Linked DNA regions of Stegostoma tigrinum. The protein of the gene in region 2 interacts with the protein of the main gene of each other region in a pairwise test. Links are inferred from orthologs where the notes say so. Each region holds a gene or a part of one and is shown on either strand. Other genes may lie near its edges. The genes, in order: ubxn1 and plaa.

The links.
Region 1: the proteins of plaa (region 2) and ubxn1 interact in binary tests that used the Homo sapiens proteins (3 or more experiments, as listed by UniProt). The two-hybrid records come from large-scale screens. The link is inferred for Stegostoma tigrinum from reciprocal best matches to the Homo sapiens genes PLAA and UBXN1.

The regions. Positions count from the first base shown.
Region 1 is NC_081395.1:4,324,745-4,334,110, forward strand, and holds the start of ubxn1 (UBX domain-containing protein 1), read right to left. Parts: upstream 5,231-9,366; 5' UTR 4,998-5,230; intron 1-4,997.
Region 2 is NC_081356.1:6,066,335-6,075,700, reverse strand, and holds the start of plaa (phospholipase A-2-activating protein), read right to left. Parts: upstream 6,145-9,366; 5' UTR 6,110-6,144; coding exon 5,967-6,109; intron 1-5,966. UniProt on the Homo sapiens protein: Plays a role in protein ubiquitination, sorting and degradation through its association with VCP. Involved in ubiquitin-mediated membrane proteins trafficking to late endosomes in an ESCRT-dependent manner, and hence plays a role in synaptic vesicle recycling.

The DNA.
Region 1 (9,366 bases), on a different chromosome or scaffold from region 2:
GTGGGGGGTGGGTGGGGGGTGGGTGGGGTTAGGGTATATGGGGTGGGGGGTATATGGGGTGGGGGGTATCTGGGGGGGGGGATGGTGAGGGGGTGTGCATGGGGTGGGGGGGTGCATGGGGTGGGGGGGTGCATGGGGTGGGGGGTGATGGTGAGGGAGTGTATGGGGTGGTGGGGTAATTGTGAGGGGGTGTACGGGGGGGGATGTGGAGGGGGTGTACGGGGTGGGGGGGTGTACGGGGTGGGAGTGATGGTGAGGGGGTATATGGGGTGGGGGTGGGGGTCAAGGTGAGGGGGTGTATGGGGTGGTGGGTGTATAGGTGGGGTTGTATGGGGTGGGAGTGATGGTGAGGGGCTGTATGGGGTAGGGGGTGTATGGGGTAGGGGGGGTGTATGGGGTGGGGGGGGTGTATGGGGTGGGGGGGGTGTATGGGGTGGGGGGGGTGTATGGGGTGGGAGTGATGGTGAGGGGGTATATGGGGTGGAGGGTGTATGGGGTGGAGGGAGTATGGGGTGGAGGGTGTATGGGGCGGGGGGTGTATGGGGTGGGGGGTGATGGTGAGGGCGTGTATGGGGTGGGGGTGATGGTGAGGGCGTGTATGGGGTGGGGGTGATGGTGAGGGGGTGTACGGGGTGGGGGTGTATAGTGAGGGTGTGTATGGGGCGGGGGGATTATGGGGCGGGGGGATTATGGGGCGGGGGGAGTATGGGGCGGGGGGAGTATGGGGCGGGGGTCAAGGTGAGGGGGTGTATGGGGTGGTGGGTGTATGGGTGGGGTTGTATGGGGTGGGGGTGATGGTGAGCGGGTGTTTGGGGTGGGGGTGATGGTGAGCGGGTGTTTGGGGTGGGGGTTGTTTGGGGTGGGGGTTGTTTGGGGTGGGGGTTGTTTGGGGTGGGGGGTTGTTTGGGGTGGGGGGGTGTTTGGGGTGGGGGGGTGTTTGGGGTGGGGGGGTGTTTGGGGTGGGGGTGGGGGTGGGGGTGGGGGTGGGGGTGGGGGTGGGGGTGTATGGGGTGGGGGTGGGGGTGGGGATGTATGGGGTGGGGGTGTATGGGGTGGGGGTGGGGGTGGGGATGTATGGGGTGGGGGTGTATGGGGTGGGGGTGGGGGTGTATGGGGTGGGGGTGGGGGTGTATGGGGTGGGGGTGGGGGTGGGGGAGGGTGATGGGGTGGGGGTGATGGGGTGGGGGTGATGGGGTGGGGGTGTACGGGGCGGGGTGGGGGTGTACGGGGCGGGGTGGGGGTGTACGGGGCGGGGTGGGGGTGTACGGGGCGGGGGGGGTGTACGGGGCGGGGGGGGTGTACGGGGCGGGGGGGGGTGTACGGGGCGGGGGGGGGGTGTACGGGGCGGGGGGGGGGTGTACGGGGCGGGGGGGGGTGTACGGGGCGGGGGGGGGTGTACGGGGCGGGGGGGGTGTACGGGGCGGGGGGGGGTGTACGGGGCGGAGGGGGGTGTACGGGGCGGGGGGGGGTGTACGGGGCGGGGGGGGTGTACGGGGCGGGGGGGGTGTGTACGGGGCGGGGGGGGTGTGTACGGGGCGGGGCGGGGCGGGGCGGTGTACGGGGCGGGGGGGGGTGTACGGGGGGGGGTGTATGGGGCGGGGGGGTGCGCGGGGGGGGTATACGGGGCGGGGGGGGTATACGGGGCGGGGGGGGGTATACGGGGCGGGGGGGGAGTGTACGGGGCGGGGGGGAGTGTACGGGGCGGGGGGAGTGTACGGGGCGGGGGGAGTGTGCGGGGCGGGGGGAGTGTGCGGGGGGGGTGTACGGGGCGGGGGGGGGGGTGTACGGGGCGGGGGGGGGGGTGTACGGGGCGGGGGGGGGCGTACGGGGCGGGGGGGGCGTACGGGGCGGGGGGGGCGTACGGGGCGGGGGGGGGGGTGTACGGGGCGGGGGGGGCGTACGGGGCGGGGGGGGGTGTACGGGGCGGAGGGGGGTGTACGGGGCGGAGGGGGGTGTACGGGGCGGGGGGGGGTGTACGGGGCGGGGGGGGGGTGTACGGGGCGGGGGGGGTGTACGGGGCGGGGGGGGTGTACGGGGCGGGGGGGGTGTATGGGGCGGGGGGGAGTGTACGGGGCGGGGGGGGTGTGCGGGGGGGTGTGCGGGGCGGGGGGGGTGTACGGGGCGGGGGGGGGTGTACGGGGCGGGGGGGCGTGTACGGGGCGGGGGTGATGATGAGTTGGTGTATGGGGTGGGGGGCTGTATGGGGTGGGGGGCTGTATGGGGTGGGGTCACGGTGAGGGGCTGTATGGGGTGGGGTCAAGGTGAGGGGGTGTATGGGGTGGTGGGTGTATAGGTGGGGTTGTATGGGGTGGGGGTGATGGTGGAGGGTGTATGGGGTGGGGGGGGTGTATGGGGTGGGGGGGGTGTATGGGGTGGGGGGGGTGTATGGGGTGTATGGGGTGTATGGGGTGGGGGGGTGTATGGGGTGGGGGGGTGTATGGGGTGGGGGTGATGGTGGGGGGGTGTATGAGTTGGGGGGGTGTATGAGGTGGGGGGGTGTATGGGGTGGGGGTGATGGTGAAGGAGTGTATGGGGTGAGGGAGTGTATGGGGTGAGGGAGTGTATGGGGTGGGGGTGATGGTGAGGGGCTGTATGGGGCGGGGGGTGTATGGGGCGGGGGGGTGTATGTGGCGGGGGGGTGTATGTGGCGGGGGGGTGTAACGGGCCGTGGGGGTGTAACGGGCGGGGGGGTGTAACGGGCGGGGGGGTGTAACGGGCGGGGGGGTGTAAGGGGCGGGGTGGTGTAAGGGGCGGGGGGGTGTAAGGGGGGGTGTATGGGGTGGGGTGTATGGGGTGGGGTGTATGGGGTGGGGTGTATGGGGTGGGGTGTATGGGGTGGGATGTTTGGGGTAGGGGTGATGGTGAGGGGGTGTAGGGCGTGGGAGTGTTAGGGGTTGGGTGTACGGGGCGGGGTTGGGTGTACGGGGCGGGGTTGGGTGTACGGGGCGGGGTTGGGTGTACGGGGCGGGGGTTGGGTGTACGGGGCGGGGGTTGGGTGTACGGGGCGGGGGGGGTGTACGGGGCGGGGGGGGTGTACGGGGCGGGGGGGGTGTACGGGGCGGGGCGGGGGGGGTGTACGGGGCGGGGCGGGGGGGGTGTACGGGGCGGGGGGGGGTGTACGGGGCGGGGGGGGGGTGTACGGGGCGGGGCGGGGGGGGTGTACGGGGCGGGGCGGGGGGTGTACGGGGCGGGGCGGGGGGGTGTGCGTACGGGGCGGGGGGTGTGCGTACGGGGCGGGGGGGGGGTGCGCACGGGGCGGGGGGGGGTGCGCACGGGGCGGGGGGGGGTGCGCACGGGGCGGGGGGGTGCGCACGGGGCGGGGTGGGTGCGCACGGGGCGGGTGTGGGTGCGCACGGGGCGGGGGGGGGTGCGCACGGGGGCGGGGGGGGGTGCGCACGGGGCGGGGGGGGTGCGCACGGGGCGGGGGGGGTGCGCACGGGGCGGGGGGGGTGCGCACGGGGCGGGGGGGGTGCGCACGGGGCGGGGGGGTGTGTGCACGGGGCGGGGGGGGTGCACGGGGCGGGGGGGTGCACGGGGCGGGGGGTGATGATGAGGGGGTGTATGGGGCGGGGGGTGATGATGAGGGGGTGTATGGGGTGTGGGGCTGTATGGGGTGGGGGGGTGTATGGGGCGCGGGTGATGATGAGGGGGTGTATGGGGTGAGGGGGTGTATGGGGTGGGGGGCTGTATGGGGTGGGGGTCAAGGTGAGGGGCTGTATGGGGTGGGGGTGATGGTGAGCGGGTGTTTGGGGTGGGGGGGTGTTTGGGGTGGGGGGGTGTATGGGGCGGGGGTGTGTATGGGGCGGGGGTGTGTATGGGGCGGGGGTGTATGGGGCGGGGGTGTATGGGGCGGGGGTGTGGGGCGGGGGGTGAGTGTGGGGTGGCGAGTGTGGGGTGGGGTGGGGGGGGGCGAGTGTGGGGTGGGGTGGGGGGGCGAGTGTGGGGTGGGGGGGCGAGTGTGGGGTGGGGGGGTGAGTGTGGGGTGGGGGGGTGAGTGTGGGGTGGGGGGGTGGGTTGGGGGGTGTGTGTGGGGTGGGGGGGTGGTGTGGTGGGGTGGGGGGGTGTTGGGGTGGGGTGGTGGGGTGGTGGGGTGGGGTGGTGGGGTGGGGTGGTGGGGTGGGGTGGGGGGTGTGTGTGGGGTGGGGTGGTGGGGTGGGGTGGGGTGGTGGGGTGGGGGGTGTGTGTGGGGTGGGGTGGTGGGGTGTGGGGTGTGTGTGGGGTGGGGTGGGGTGTGTGTGGGGTGGGGTGGGGTGTGTGTGGGGTGGGGTGGGGTGTGTGTGGGGTGGGGTGGGGGGTGTGTGGTGTGGGGTGGGGTGGTGTGGGGTGGGGTGGGGTGGGGTGGGGTGGGGGGGTGAGTGTGGGGTGGGGTGGGGGGTGAGTGTGGGGTGGGGGGTGTGTGTGGGGTGTGTGGGTGGGGTGGGGTGTGTGGGTGGGTGGGGTGGGGTGGGGTGTGTGGGTGGGTGGGGTGGGGTGGGGTGGGGTGGGGGTGTGTGTGTGGGGTGGGAGGTGTGTGGGGTGGGAGGTGTGTGGGGTGGGGTGGGGTGGGGTGGTGGGGGGGTGAGTGTGGGGTGGGGGTGTGTGTGGTGGGGGGTTGTGTGGGGTGGGGGGTGTGTGTGTGGTGGGGGGTGTGTGGGGTGGGGGTGTGTGTGGGTGGGGGGTGGTGGGGGTGTGTGTGGGTGGGGGGTTGTGGGGGTGTGTGTGGGGTGGGCGGTTGTGTGGGGTGGGGGGTTGTGTGTGGTGGGGGTGTGTGTGGGGTGGGGTGGGGTGGGGGGGGTGTGTGTGCGGTGGGGGGGTGTGTGTGGGGTGGGGGGTGTGTGGGGTGGGGGCTGTGAAGGTGTTGTAACCCACAGCCCTGTGTCAGGGTCTGGTTTTGTCCGTGGGGGTGGGGGGTTTATTTTCTCTCTGTGTGAGGGATGGTGACCCATCCTGTGGTTTAATCGGGAGTGAATGGGTAATTCCTGCAGCACATTCCCCAGACCCCTCCGCCTCGGGCCTACCTGCAGCTCCGAAGCCTCGGTGTTTCCTACGGCCCGGCGGCGGGCGAGCGGGAGGTTTTCACACGGATCCCGGGCTCAGCAGCAAGAGGCGGGCTCCAGTCATCACCCACAGGCTGTGGGGGTGGGGAATGTGTGTGAGGGTGTGTGTCGGGGAGGTCTGCTCAGCTTCACCACCCGGTAACCGGAGAGACAGGCTCACCGTGAGGGGGAGGGGCTTAGGGTGGGAAGGGGCGGAGCTTATGGCGGGTTGGGGTTTACGGTTGGTTGGCTCTTACCGTGTGTAGGGGGTGGGGCTTACTATGTGCAGTGCGGCACACCGTGCGGGGCGGGGCTTACTGTGTGGGGTGGAGCTTACCATGTGGGGGTGTGGCTTACATTGTGGGGCGGAGTTTACTATGGGCAGGCCGACGCAGTGTGGGGAGGGGCTTACAGTGTGCGGCGGGGCTTACCATGTGGGGGTGTGGCTTACAGTGTGGGGCGGGGCTTACTATGGGCACTCCGGCCCTTCGCGTGTGGTAGGGAGTACAGGGAGGCGAGGGTCCTGCCGTAGGGGTGTGGCTTACAGCGTGGGGCGGGGATTACTATCCGCACGCGGCTCACCGTGTGGGGAGGGGCTTGCCATGTGGGGAGGAGCTTACTATGTGCAGTGCGGCTCACAGTGTGGGGAGGGGCATGAAAAGTGGGTGTGGCTTACAGTGTGGGGTGGGTCTTACAGTGTGGAGAGGCTTGGGGATGGGCAGGGTTGAGGGTGGGGGTTTTAGTGAGGGGTTTGGGAATTAGGGGAGAGGGGCATGAAGGTGAGGAAAGGCTTAGTGTGATTGGGGCTTAATCAGGGCGGAGTGAGGGGGTTTAGAGGGAATGAAGGGGTTTAGAGAGGGGGTGGAATTTAGAATGGGGGTTTGTGGAATGGGTGTGGATTGTGTGGTGTTTAGTGTGAGGGACTGAGAGAGAAAGAGATGGTGTTTAGAGTGATAACAAAGTGTGAGGCTGGATGAACACAGCAGGCCAAGCAGCATCTCAGGAGCACAAAAGCTGACGTTTCGGGCCTAGACCCTTCATCACCTCCTTGACCTGTCCGTCTTCCCTGGACTGACCTATCCCCTCCCTACCTCCCCACCTACACTCTCTCCACCTATCTTCTTTTCTCTCCATCTTCGGTCCGCCTCCCCCTCTCTCCCTATTTATTCCAGTTCCCTCTCCCCATCCCCCTCTCTGATGAAGGGTCTAGGCCCGAAACGTCAGCTTTTGTGCTTCTGAGATGCTGCTTGGCCTGCTGTGTTCATCCAGCCTCACACTTTGTTATATAGAACATAGAACAATACAGCACTTCAGCCCACGATGTTGTGCCGAACTTTTACTCTAATCCTAAGGTCTATTGAACCTCCACCCCTATGTTATACTATCATCCATATGTCTATCTAATAGCCACTTGTGGAGGAATCAAAAACATGCTTACCGAATGACAGGGCAAGCTCAAGGGGGCAAGCTGCCTTTTCCTGCTCTTACTTTCTATGTTCATATGTACTCAAATTTTTAAACTACACAGTGTTACGTTACAACAATTTACTTTTTAATGCTTTGCATATAAAGTTTGCTCAAAAATATGAAATCTCGTCTTGGATTCACCAGCATCTGCAGTTCCCATTATCCGTGTTTAGAGTGATATAGGGTCTTGGAGACAGAGGGTCTCAGAATGAGGGGGAGAGGCTCAAAGTGAGAGAGGGGTTCTCGGAGTGAGAGAGAAGGGTCACAGAGTGAGGATAAGAGTCTCAGAGAGGGAGGGTCTAAGAGAGATAAAGAAGGGCCTCACAGTGAGGGGGAGGGTCTCAGAGAGAGGGGAAGGGTCTCTGAGTGCGAGAGTCTCAGAGAGAGGGTGTCTCAGAGTGAGGGGGAGGGTCTCAGAGAGCATCTCAGAGTGAAGGGGAGAGTCTCAGAGTGAGGGGAAGGGTCTCAGTGAGTGCGAGAGTCTCAGAGAGACACGGTGTCTCAGAGTGAGTGGGAGGGTCTCAGAATGAAGGGGAGAGGCTCGGAGTGAGAGAGAAGGGTCAAAGAGGGAGAATGAGACTCTCAGAGAGGGAGGGTCTAAGAGAGATAGAGAAGGGTCTCACAGTGAGGGGGAGAGTCTCAGAGAGAGGGTGTCTCAGAGTGAGGGGGAGAGTCTCAGAGAGAGGGTGTCTCAGAGTGAGGGGGAGAGTCTCAGAGAGAGGGTGTCTCAGAGTGAGGGGGAGGGTCTCAGAGAGAGGATCTCAGAGTGAAGGGGAGAGTCTCAGAGTGAGGGGGAGGGTCTCAGAGAGAGGATCTCAGAGTGAAGGGGAGAGTCTCAGAGTGAGGGGGAGGGTCTCAGAGAGAGGATCTCAGAGTGAAGGGGAGAGTCTCAGAGTGAGGGGGAGGGTCTCAGAGAGAGGATCTCAGAGTGAAGGGGAGAGTCTCAGAGTGAGGGGGAGGGTCTCAGATGGAGTAGGAGGGGCTTATGATGAGGGGTTGGGGTCCGGTGGATCAGTGCTGGAGTACAGTATCTGGGTGGGAAATGGAGTCTCCTGTCAATCAGTGGGTGGGGTATGGCCTGTCCTCAGGTGGCAACCAAACCTTGGGCAACCTTTGGTCATTCAGCCCTTTCGCCCCTCACTTCTAGCCCTTTGAGTAACAGCAATGCCATCACTGTTAGCCTGGCCTTACCCTCACAGATCTTCAAACCTCCAGGTAATATGATTTTTTACATATTCCTGAGGCTCAATGCTGTCTGTCTCTCTCTCAGTGCAACGGCGCAGATAGGTCGGTGAAGTCAGCAGAAGACCCCAAACGATGAGAAACAATGAGCGGGCAAACCTGGGCGGGAGATGTCAAGGTCTGCATTGGGAGTTAGAGATGCGGCAGTCTCCAGAGGAGAGATCGGTGCCAGATTTCAAGCCATGGGCTATGGTTCAAAAAAAACGACCTGACATGCATGGTAAGCACAGTTTAAACAGCTAGGAGTTAAAGCAGTGTGCGCAGATGAACTGGAGAGAGCAGGCATGATACAAGTGGAGCTTTCGCAGGCAACCAACTGTCCCTCTCTCTCTCTCTCCACACTGTGTCTCCTGCAATCACGCTAAGTTCTGTTTGTGGAAAACATGACGGAAATGCGAAGGGAGTGACAATAAACATCAGAATAGCGTCATAAGTACCATGGTATAACCGTAACATTTGAAGTAATGTGCGAGAGACCATGAAGAAACCATGCCTTGCTCTGTATTTATGTGAGTTGGAACTGTAAGTGTACGGGACAACATTTAGCATCAATCTACCACAGGCAGTCACAGGTCAGAGATAACACTGACCCAAAGCCGATAAGACAGAATGAGTCTCCCTCCCCCACCCACCCAGTACAAAATGCTCAGGCACAAGACTTAGACAACACACATAAGCAGCTCCGACAGCGCCCATTCCCTCACCACTGACACTCCGGTGCCCGTTTCCTCAGCACTGACCCTCTGACAGTGCCTGCTCCCCCTGTACTGACCCTCAGACAGTGCCCGCTCCCTCAGCACTGATCCTCCGGCAGTGCCCGCTCCCTCAGCGCTAACCCTCTGACAGTGCCCACTCCCTCAGCGCTAACCCTCCGACAGTGCCCACTCCCTCAGCGCTAACCCTCTGACAGTGCCCACCCCCTCAGCGCTAACCCTCCCACAGTGCGGCGCTCCCTCAGCAGTGACCCTCCGACAGTGCCCGCTCCCTCAGCACTGACCCTCCGACAGTGCCCACTCCCTCAGCGCTGACCCTCTGACAGTGCCCGCTCCCTCAGCACTGACCCTCCGACAGTGCCCGCTCCCTCAGCACTGACCCTCCGACAATGCCGGCTCCCTCAGCACTGACCCTCCGACAGCGCCCGCTCTCTCAGCACTGACACTCAGACAGTGCCCGCTCCCTCAGCAATGACCCTCCGACAGTGCCCCCTCCCTCAGCACTGACCCTCCGAGGGTGCCTGCTCGCTCAGCACTGACCCTCCGACAGTGCCCGCTCTCTCTGCGCTGACCCTCCAACAATGCCCGCTCCCTCAGCACTGACCCTCCGACAGTGCCCGCTCGCTCAGCACTGACCCTCCGACAGTGCCTGCTCTCTCTGCGCTCACCCTCCAACAGTGCCCAGTCACTCATCATTGACCCTCCGACGGTGCCTGCTCCCTCAGCACTGACCATCCAGTGCCCTCTCCTTGACCACTGACCATCCGACAGTGCCCGCTCCCTCAGCACTGACCCTCCAACAGTGCCCTCTCCCTCAGCCCTAACCCTCCCACAGTGCGGCACACCCTCAGCGCTGAACTTCCGACAGTGCCCACTCCCTCAGCGCTGACCATCCGACAATGCCCGCTCCCTCAGCACTGACCCTCCGA
Region 2 (9,366 bases):
TGCAAGGAGATATTAGATCAAGTGACCAAAACTTGTTCAAAGATATAGCTTTGGAGGAGTGTCTCAAAGGACAATTTCAAGTAGAGAGACAGAGGTGTAGGAAGAGTTCTTCATATCTTGAGGCCAGGACAGCCATAAGGCATAACCACAAATGTTGGAGGAATTCAAATCAGTGGATACTCAAAAGGCCAAAATTAGATGAGCATAGTATTTCGGAAAGATGGAAGATTTAAAAAGATGGCAGAGATAGGGAAGGGTGACAAAGTGATTTGAAATCAAAGTTGAGAACGCTAAAATTAAGATGCTATTTGACCAGTAGCAAGAGAGATGAGTGGATGACTGGGGATTGGGGCTTGCTGCAAATTAATACACAGCCAGCAAAGTTTTGGGTGACCTCAAGTTTGCAAATGGTATTGTGTGGAAGATTAGCTAAGATTGTATGGGAATAGTCAAGTCTAGAGAAAATGAAAACATGAAGGTTTCAGCAGCAGATGAGCTGTGGATCGCCAGAGAAGTAAGGTGATGCTATGCTGGTGGAAATAGTCAGTCTTGGTAATGGCACACAAGTTAAAAAGCTCATCTCAGAATGAAATGTGACAGGGTTGCAAAGAAAGAGCAGTACAGTAGCTCAGTAATTAGCACAGCTGTCTCACAGCACCAGGGACCCAGGTTTGATTCCAGCCTCAGGTGACTGAGTGTAGAGTTTGCATATTCTCCCTCTGTCTGTGTGAGTTTCCTCCCACAGTCTAAAGATGTACAGTTTTGGGCAGATAGGCCATGCTAAGTTGCCCATGGAGTTCAGAGACATGTAGGATAGGTGGATTAGCAAGGGAAATGCAGTGTTACAGGGAAAGGGTCTTGTGAACAGTGGGATGCTCTTTGGATGGTCAGTGTGGCTAAGTGGACTAATTCCACACTTTAGGGATTCTATGATTCTACAAAATCGATCAATCTCAGACTGCTGACAGGTAGGGAGAAGTGGTTGGTGGTCAGGATTAGGATTTGGAGTAGGAATTGAAAACAGCTTCAGTCTTCTCAATATTTAAAAATCAAGAGCTCTCAAGGTCAGGTAAGATAATACAAATTTTCTTCTACAGTCAATAAACATGCAAGAAACACACAGCTCTCTAGAATTTTGTTTGCTTTGCACATACCAAACCCTTTTGCAACTCCAACAATTTTGAGCTTTTGGAAACAAATCCAGAAATTGCTGGGAAAGCTCAGCAGGTCTGGTAGCATCTATAGAGAAAAAGCAGTTAACATTTTGGATCCAATGATCCTTCAGAATTTCTGGAGGCAGGTTTACTGTAGCCGAAGTACAGACACATCTGGAGGAAGGGTTGTTGAAACTAATGTGTAACTAAATTTTAAAATCCATTCTACTCCAGTCATACAATTACAACTTCAGTAAGCTGTAAAAACAGGCCTCACTCTAAATGTGACATAAGGCAGAATTCGAATAAAATGCAAATGTTATTTGCAGTCTCAGCATCCTCCACTTAAAATTCTTAATGGAGCAGACAAAAACATTTAGATAGAAGGCTACCAGGTATTTGTACTGAGCCAATAACATAGATTTCCACTTAAACTGTCAAAGCAGAAGAGGAAAGCAAGTTGAAGGGATCGGCAAACAAAAAAAAACATCTATACTGTTCAATAAACACAGACAACATTTTCAGAGACAGCTCATGTAGTATAGAAGAGGCAAACAAGGAATGGAGGTAGTCAGGAACACATCCTGACAGGACAGACAGCCACAGTCCTTTCAAATTGCGACGGGCAAAGTGATTTAATGTCATCGAGTGAGTCAACGGGATGGATGGATCAAAGAGGTACATCGAGGCATAATGCATTCAAATGCATTTATCCTGACATACCAATGTGCAATGTCAACGTTTCAACCGTCTATCAGATTGAATGTTAAGTGCAGCAAATCAGTGATGAAAGTGATTGCATGAAAACATCAATCCTTCCTCTTCCTCATTTTAACAGTATTTCGTTTCTCAATGTCTGTATTCAGGACATGTATGCAGGATTCAAAAGCAACAATAATGAGACAGATAAGTTAAATAAAATATATTTACTGCAATCTCAACAATGTTAAAGGTTTCACAAACTTCACAAAACTAGTGTTAAAATATGCAAAACGTCAAGATTAGAGTATCATGATTTTTCATTCATGGAGGATGAGAGCTGGCTGAGCACTTTATTTCCCATCCCTAATTGCGCTCAGAAGCTGGTTGTGAGAGGATTTCTTGCATCACAGCAATGCATTTGCTGTGAGGTACACAATTATAGTGTTGTTACAGGTCAGGATTCAGAATTTTGAGCCAATGACAGTGAATGAATGGTAAAAAATGTCCAAATCACACAGGTGAGCAGCTTGAGGGGGAACATACAGGCTATGATGTTCCCACATATCTGCGCTTGACACTCTAGATTGCAGCTATCAATGGTTTGGAATGTGCTGTCAGAAGAGCCTTGGTGAATTTCTTCTTCTTCAGCCTTGCATTTTCATAAGCTAAAAATTAATCTTTTGACCTTTTCTTAAAAGAAAATCACCAAACTTGAATTGCTTGGAAAACAGACCTGTCAATGTGCTTTTCTTCATCTACATTCTTAAGGAATGGATCACAGAATAACCATTAACTATAGGAGTTCAAATAAATGTTTTCCACAAGAAGATACTCAATCCAATCTGGCTCAGCAAATATCAACTTAAATCACAAACTTGGGATCAAACTGGACTTCGTCTGAGCTATGGAGCTCAGTCCTGAACCAATAGTATAAATTATCAGTTTACCCAATGAATCATTTTGAATGCAAAAGAAGCGAGCTTGTTCAAATATATTAATTGCCCAAGGACACTTTCCATTATGTTTTTGTTCAAGCTTCAGATTTAAGATCAAAACTAAAACTAAACTGAAGACCTCAAAAAGATAGTTGATTATTTACCTAAATGTTGATCCACAGCAGAATTATCTGAAGATGACTGTCAGTTTTCACTTTTGTATTTACAGTGAGCCCTGCCGTGTTGCAACTCTTTATGACGCCTCAAAAGTATCTAAATTTGTGTGCTTGATATCTGATATAAGGTGAGCAAGAATTACCTCAATGTAAATACCGAGAAAATTGGAGCCATTGCTTTGAAAACAAGCTAAAAACTTATTTTCCCTCCATTGACCCCATCCCTCTCCTTTGTAAATATTTGAGACTCAAAGTTTGGCATCTTGGCACCATATCTGAAGCCAAGGTGAGCTTCTGAACATATGCTTACCATTACACAGATGACTATTCCAACCTGCAAAGCACTGCACGATGCTTCCCCTACTCCCAACCATGCCTTTTCATCAGCTACAGAAGATCTCATCCAAGCATGTGTTACCTTTACAGTTGACTATTCAAATACGTCTCTGGCTGGTCTCCAGCTTTCTCCTCTCTTGTAAATTTGAGATCGTGCAAATTTCTACTGCCCATATCCTAAAGTGCACAAAATCTCATTTACCTATGCTCACTGATTTACAATGGCTCCCAGCTCAGAATCACCTCAATTTTAAAATTCTTGGCTGTATTTGCAATCTAAGTCAATAACTAGTAATTATCCAAGTTTTCTAGCGATATTAGGTAGAATGTGTGCTGCAAAGGATAATAGACAGGGTAAGTGAACCGGTACGAACATAGCAAAGTGTAATAGCATGAGAAGTGAGAGAGTTAGAAACTAGGTGAGAGATAATGGGAACTGCAGTTGCTGGAGAATCCAAGATAACAAAGTGTGGAACTGGATGAACGCAGCAGGCTAAGCAGCATCTTAGGAGCACAAAAGCTGACGTTTCAGGCCTAGACCCTTCATCAGAAAAGGGGAATGGGGAGAGGGTTCTGAAATAAATGGGGGGGGGGGGGGGAGAAACGTAGATCAAGATAGATAGAGGGGAAGATAGGTAGAGAGGAAACAGACAAGTTAAAGGATCGGAGATGGAACCTGTAGAGATGAGTATAGGCGGGGAGGTAGGGAGGGGATAGGTCAGTCTGGGGAGGACAGACTAGATGATGTTGGTTTTCAGATTAATTCGAATGTCCTTGTCCACAAAGCATACTGTTAAAATCCGCACACAGTATAGTAAGCGCTACCATAGCAAATGATGTAGCACCTTTTATAACAGTGATCGGAATAAAAAACTATGAAGTTTCACTGCAATTGTATCGCACCTTCATAAGCACCTGAGCACAGTTTTGGTCTTGTTTCCTAAACTGGTTTCAGGGATGATAAGATCATCCAAAGAGAACAGATTGAGTCTACTTAAAATCAATATTCCATAAACTTTAGAAGAACGAGAGCTGATCTCACGGAGACGGAATAAAATTCTTAAGGGACCAACCAGATAAATGCTGGCAGGATATCTGCATTGATTGAAGAGTCCAGAAGTCGGGTTCATGGTCTCAAAAAAAAAGTTTAATCATTTAGGACTGCAACAAGTAGGTCAAATTAGATGAATATACTCAGAATAAAGATCAAATAGATTTTTGGATACAAAAGGAATTACGGAACATCGAGGTATTGCTGGAAGGGAAAGTCAAGACAAATCAAGCATTAGGCACCCTCAATTATGATCTTATTGAATGAAGGAGCTGACACAAAAAGGCGCATTGCCGACTCCTGCTATTTTATATTGTATTCATAAGTGTTTCAAATCTGTGTAGTTCTCTATCTTCACTATATCTCCTGCAATTCTGATTTACTGCACTCCAGTTAACAAATTCACTCCACTAACTGATATGCTTTACAATGCCATGACCATGATCTAAAGTTCTCTTTTTCCAGACACTTAACCCTTACAGCCCTGATAAAACCTTTGATCACCTGCCCTAATATCCCCTTATTTGGTTCAGTGTCCAATTTTAAGAACACATCCATGAAGAACATTGAGATATAGTAAGTAAAGGTAAAGGCTCCAATGTTAAAAGTTTGCTACAAAAAAGAAAAAAAGTAAATAAATCTGTACACAGTAGACAAGAACACAGAATACATAGAGCTCAGAGCAGAAATAGGAAACTCAGCACTTTGAGCCTGTTCCTCCATTTGATGCAATCATAACTGATATCATCTTAACCCCTACTCCACTTTTCTGCCTGCTCTCCACAATCCTTCAACTCATTAAGATTTGATTTTAAATTAGAATCTCCTCTTTTTAAGGTTACTCAAAGTAGATTACACATTTGGGACTGAAAAGTGGAACGAAGTCTATTCCTTCAAAGGACAGTGAATCTTTGGAATTTTACACTGGATACATGATGACTGTGTCCAAGTCAAATATCAAAACATTTTTGAATACAGAGGAGAATCAAGGAGTGCAGGACTAGTGTAGAAAAATCTATAAACTCGAGCGTAGCGAATTCCATATATTCACAACGGCTTTGAGATGTATTTTCTTCTCATCCATATTTTTAAAACTCTTGCCTCTAATCCAAAAACTATGGCCCCCTCATTCAAGAGCCGGCCATTGAAGAATTTCTTCTCAGAGGGTGGAGTGTCTTTGCCACAAAGATCTGTGGGGGCAAGCATCCTTGTGCCTATGTAACGCTGGGATAGATAGATCTTAACTAGTAAGCAAACTCAAGGGTTATGGGTTAAAAGGCAGGAAAGCGAACGAGGAATTCTGGAACAGCCACAATCTTACTGAATGGCAGAGCAGGAGGTTGGACAGAGGACCTCTGTTCCTGTTTCTTATGATCTTATGGCCTTACGTTGGCTCCTAAATGCTAAACTAAGAACGCTTCATAAAAATCAGGCTTGCTTTCTACCAACGACAGGCCCCCTACACTCAATACCAGCTCGCTCCGAATTCCTGCACCCCAAGCACCACACACACAGCTCCAAACGGAAAACTGTCAACTCATCAGTGAGTGCTGCTCCCTGTGGCGGGGCCTAGCAGCCGCCGGGTAACCTTCACGGCTTTACTCTCGATTACCTGTTGGGCACCCAGACCCGGGCCGTGCGGTCCCTGGACACGGACACGAAGGCTCCGACGGGGAACAGGGTGGTAGCCAACCCCCTGACGTCCATCTGATGCCCGGCGAGGGAGCAGCTGAGCCTGTAGGCGGACGACGCCATGTCGGCCTGGCAGTGTCCGCCGGTAACAGGGCGGCCTCCTGGGAACCACCTCCCCCTTCCTGTCCAACCGTCAGGAATAACATGTTTTTAACAAAAAAACACCTCAGACCTCCCCAAACAAACACAGGGAGGCGGACACAGATACACATTTTAACCTTAAGTTGTAAAACAAATACGTTAACAATTATCGACGGGTCAGAGGTCGTCGCCATGGTAACCGTAATCAATGTCCGACTGTTAAACTTAGGACGGCGGGTGGGGGAGTGCGTGCACAAAAAAGGTGCTCATTTCATTCCGCCGTTTTTTTTGTTTTTGGGAAAAGATATTTTCGTCGTTTGTTTTCGGTGACAAACCGGGAAAGTTGTTGGTGAGGAGAGGGGAAAAACAAAGGGGGAAGGTTGTGGTGTGTTGTGGGCGGGCGGTAAGAGGCCGCACCGACATCTAGAGGCTCGCACGACCCACTAGGAGCCAGCGTCCCGGTCCCCACAATCCTGACTGAGCCCAGGTAAAAACTCAGGAGACATCGGAACACGAGGAATTCAGCCCCACTAGCCTGTCCACCCCCCCCCCCCCCCCAATTCAGTAGGATCGTGGCTGATTCAACATTCCTCACACCCACTTTCCTCCGCCTTTTCCCACATTCCTAAATCGAAAACTCCTCACGCCCACTTTCCTGCCCTTATCCCCACATTCCAAAGTTGAAAACTCCTCATGCTACATGCACGTCCCAGTCGCGAACCATTTCCACTCCCCCTCCCATTCCTCAAATGACATGTCCATCATGGGCCTCCTGCAGTGCCACAATGATGCCACCCGAAGGTCGCAGGAACAGCAACTCATATTCCGCCTGGGAACCCTGCAGCCCAGTGTTACCAATGTGGACTTCACCAGCTTCAAAATCTCCCCTTCCCCTACCGCATCCCAAAACCAGCCCAGTTCGTCCCCTCCCCCCACTGCACCACACAACCAGCCCAGCTCTTCCCCTCCACCCACTGCATCCCAAAACCAGCCCAGCCTGTCTCTGCCTCCCTAACCTGTTCTTCCTCTCACCCATCCCTTCCTCCCACCCCAAGCCGCACCTCCATTTCCTACCTACTAACCTCATCCCACCTCCTTGACCTGTCCGTCTTCCCTGGACTGACCTATCCCCTCCCTACCTCCCCACCCATACTCTCCTCTCCAGCTATCTTCTTTTCTCTCCATCTTCGGTCTGTCTCCCCCTCTCTCTCTATTTATTCCAGAACCCTCACCCCATCCCCCTCTCTGATGAAGGGTCTAGGCCCGAAACGTCAGCTTTTGTGCTCCTGAGATGCTGCTTGGCCTGCTGTGTTCATCCAGCTTCACACTTTATTATCATGCCCACTTTGCTGGCTTTTTCTTCTTAACCCTTTATCCAACGCTCTTCACATCCACTTTAATACCTTTTCTCCCCCCCCCCCCCGCCAACCCTAGATCCAAAACTCAGGTTCACTTTCGTGCCTTAGAACGAACAAAGAACAAGTTCTAAGGAGGGGTCACCAGACCTGAAACATTAACTGATTTTGTTTTCTTCACAGATGTTGCCAGACCTGCTGAGCTTTTCTTGCAACTTCTGTTTTTGGTCCTGCTTTACAGCATCTGCAGTTCTTTAGGTTTTTAGATCAAAGAACAATACAGAGCAGGAACAAGCCCTTCGGCCCTCCAAGCCTACAGGGACACAATTTGCCCTTCCATTCTAAAACTATCTTCACTTAAAGGATCCATATCCCTCCATTTCCTTCCTATTCATGTACTCGTCCAAATGCTTCTTAAATGCTGCTATTGTGTCTTCTTTGACCAGCTCATCTGGCAACATGTTACAGGCATTCACCACCTTTGTGTGAAAAAAACTTACCCCTTTGCATCTTGAACCTATGTTCCCTCGTAATTGACCCCTCCACCCTGGGGAAAAAAGGTGTCATATTTTTCACCTATCCATACTATTCGCAATCTTATAAATTTGTTATTGGGTCGCCCCTCAACCTCCTGTGTTCCAACAAAAACAAACCCAGTCTGTCTAGCCTTGCTTCATAGCTAAAATTGCCCATACCAGGGAACATCCTTTTCTGTACCCCTTCCAAAGCATCCACATCCTTCTGGTAGTGTGCTGACCAGAACTGTATAAAATGTTTCAAGTGTAGCCTATTTAAAGTTCTATTAAGCTGCAGCATAACTTGTCTATCATTACAATCAGTGCCCCTTCTAATGAAGGCAAGCATACCATAAGCTTTCTTTTTAATACCTTGTCTGCCTGTGCTCCCGTCTTCAATGATCTGTTGGACCTGTGCACTCAGATCCCTCTGCATATCGATTCTCCTAAGGGTTCTGCCATTCAGTGTATAATTTCCACCTGTACTTGACCTTCCAAAATGCATCACCTCACATTTGTCTGTTTTTCTGTCTATGCCTCTAATTGATTTATATCCTATGACAATCTTCCTCACTATCCCTAACTCCACCAATCTTTGTATTGTCTGCAGACTTATTAATTAGACCAACTCCATTTTCCTCCAAATAATTTATGTAGACCATGAACAGCAGAGGTCCCAGCACTGATCCCTGTTGAACACCACCACTCGCAACCCTCCATTCTGACAAGGATCCTTCCACTGCTACCCTTTGTCTCCTATGACGAAGCTCGTTCTGTATCCATCTTGCCAGCTCACTCCTACACCATGTGACTTCACCTTTTGTACCAGCCTGCGAGGAGGAACCTTGTCAAAGGCTTTACTGAAGTCCATGTAGATAACATTAACTGCTTTTCCCTCATCAATCATCTTCATCGCCACCTCAAAAAACTCAATAAAGCTCGTGAGGCATGACTTGCCCCGCAAATGATGTCTATCGCTAATAAGTCCATTTGCTTCTAAATGCATATAAATCTTGAACCTGAGGCTTTTTCCAATAATTTCCCTATCAGTGATGTGAGATTCCCAGGTCTGTAATTTCCAGGATTATCCTTGCTACGCTTCTTACGCAATGGGACAACTTTGGCTATTCTTCAGTCCTCTAAGACCTCAACTGTGGCCGAAGAGAATACAAACATCTCTGTCAATGCTCCAGCAATTCATTCTCTTGCCTCCCCCTCAATATTCTGGGACAGATCCCATTAGGACTTGGGGACTTATCTATCCTAATACTTTATAAGACAATGACACCTCTTCCGTTTTGATAGCAAATTGGTTTAGAAACTCACCACTTCCTTCCCTGACAGCATCCTCTACCAGTTCCTTCTCTTT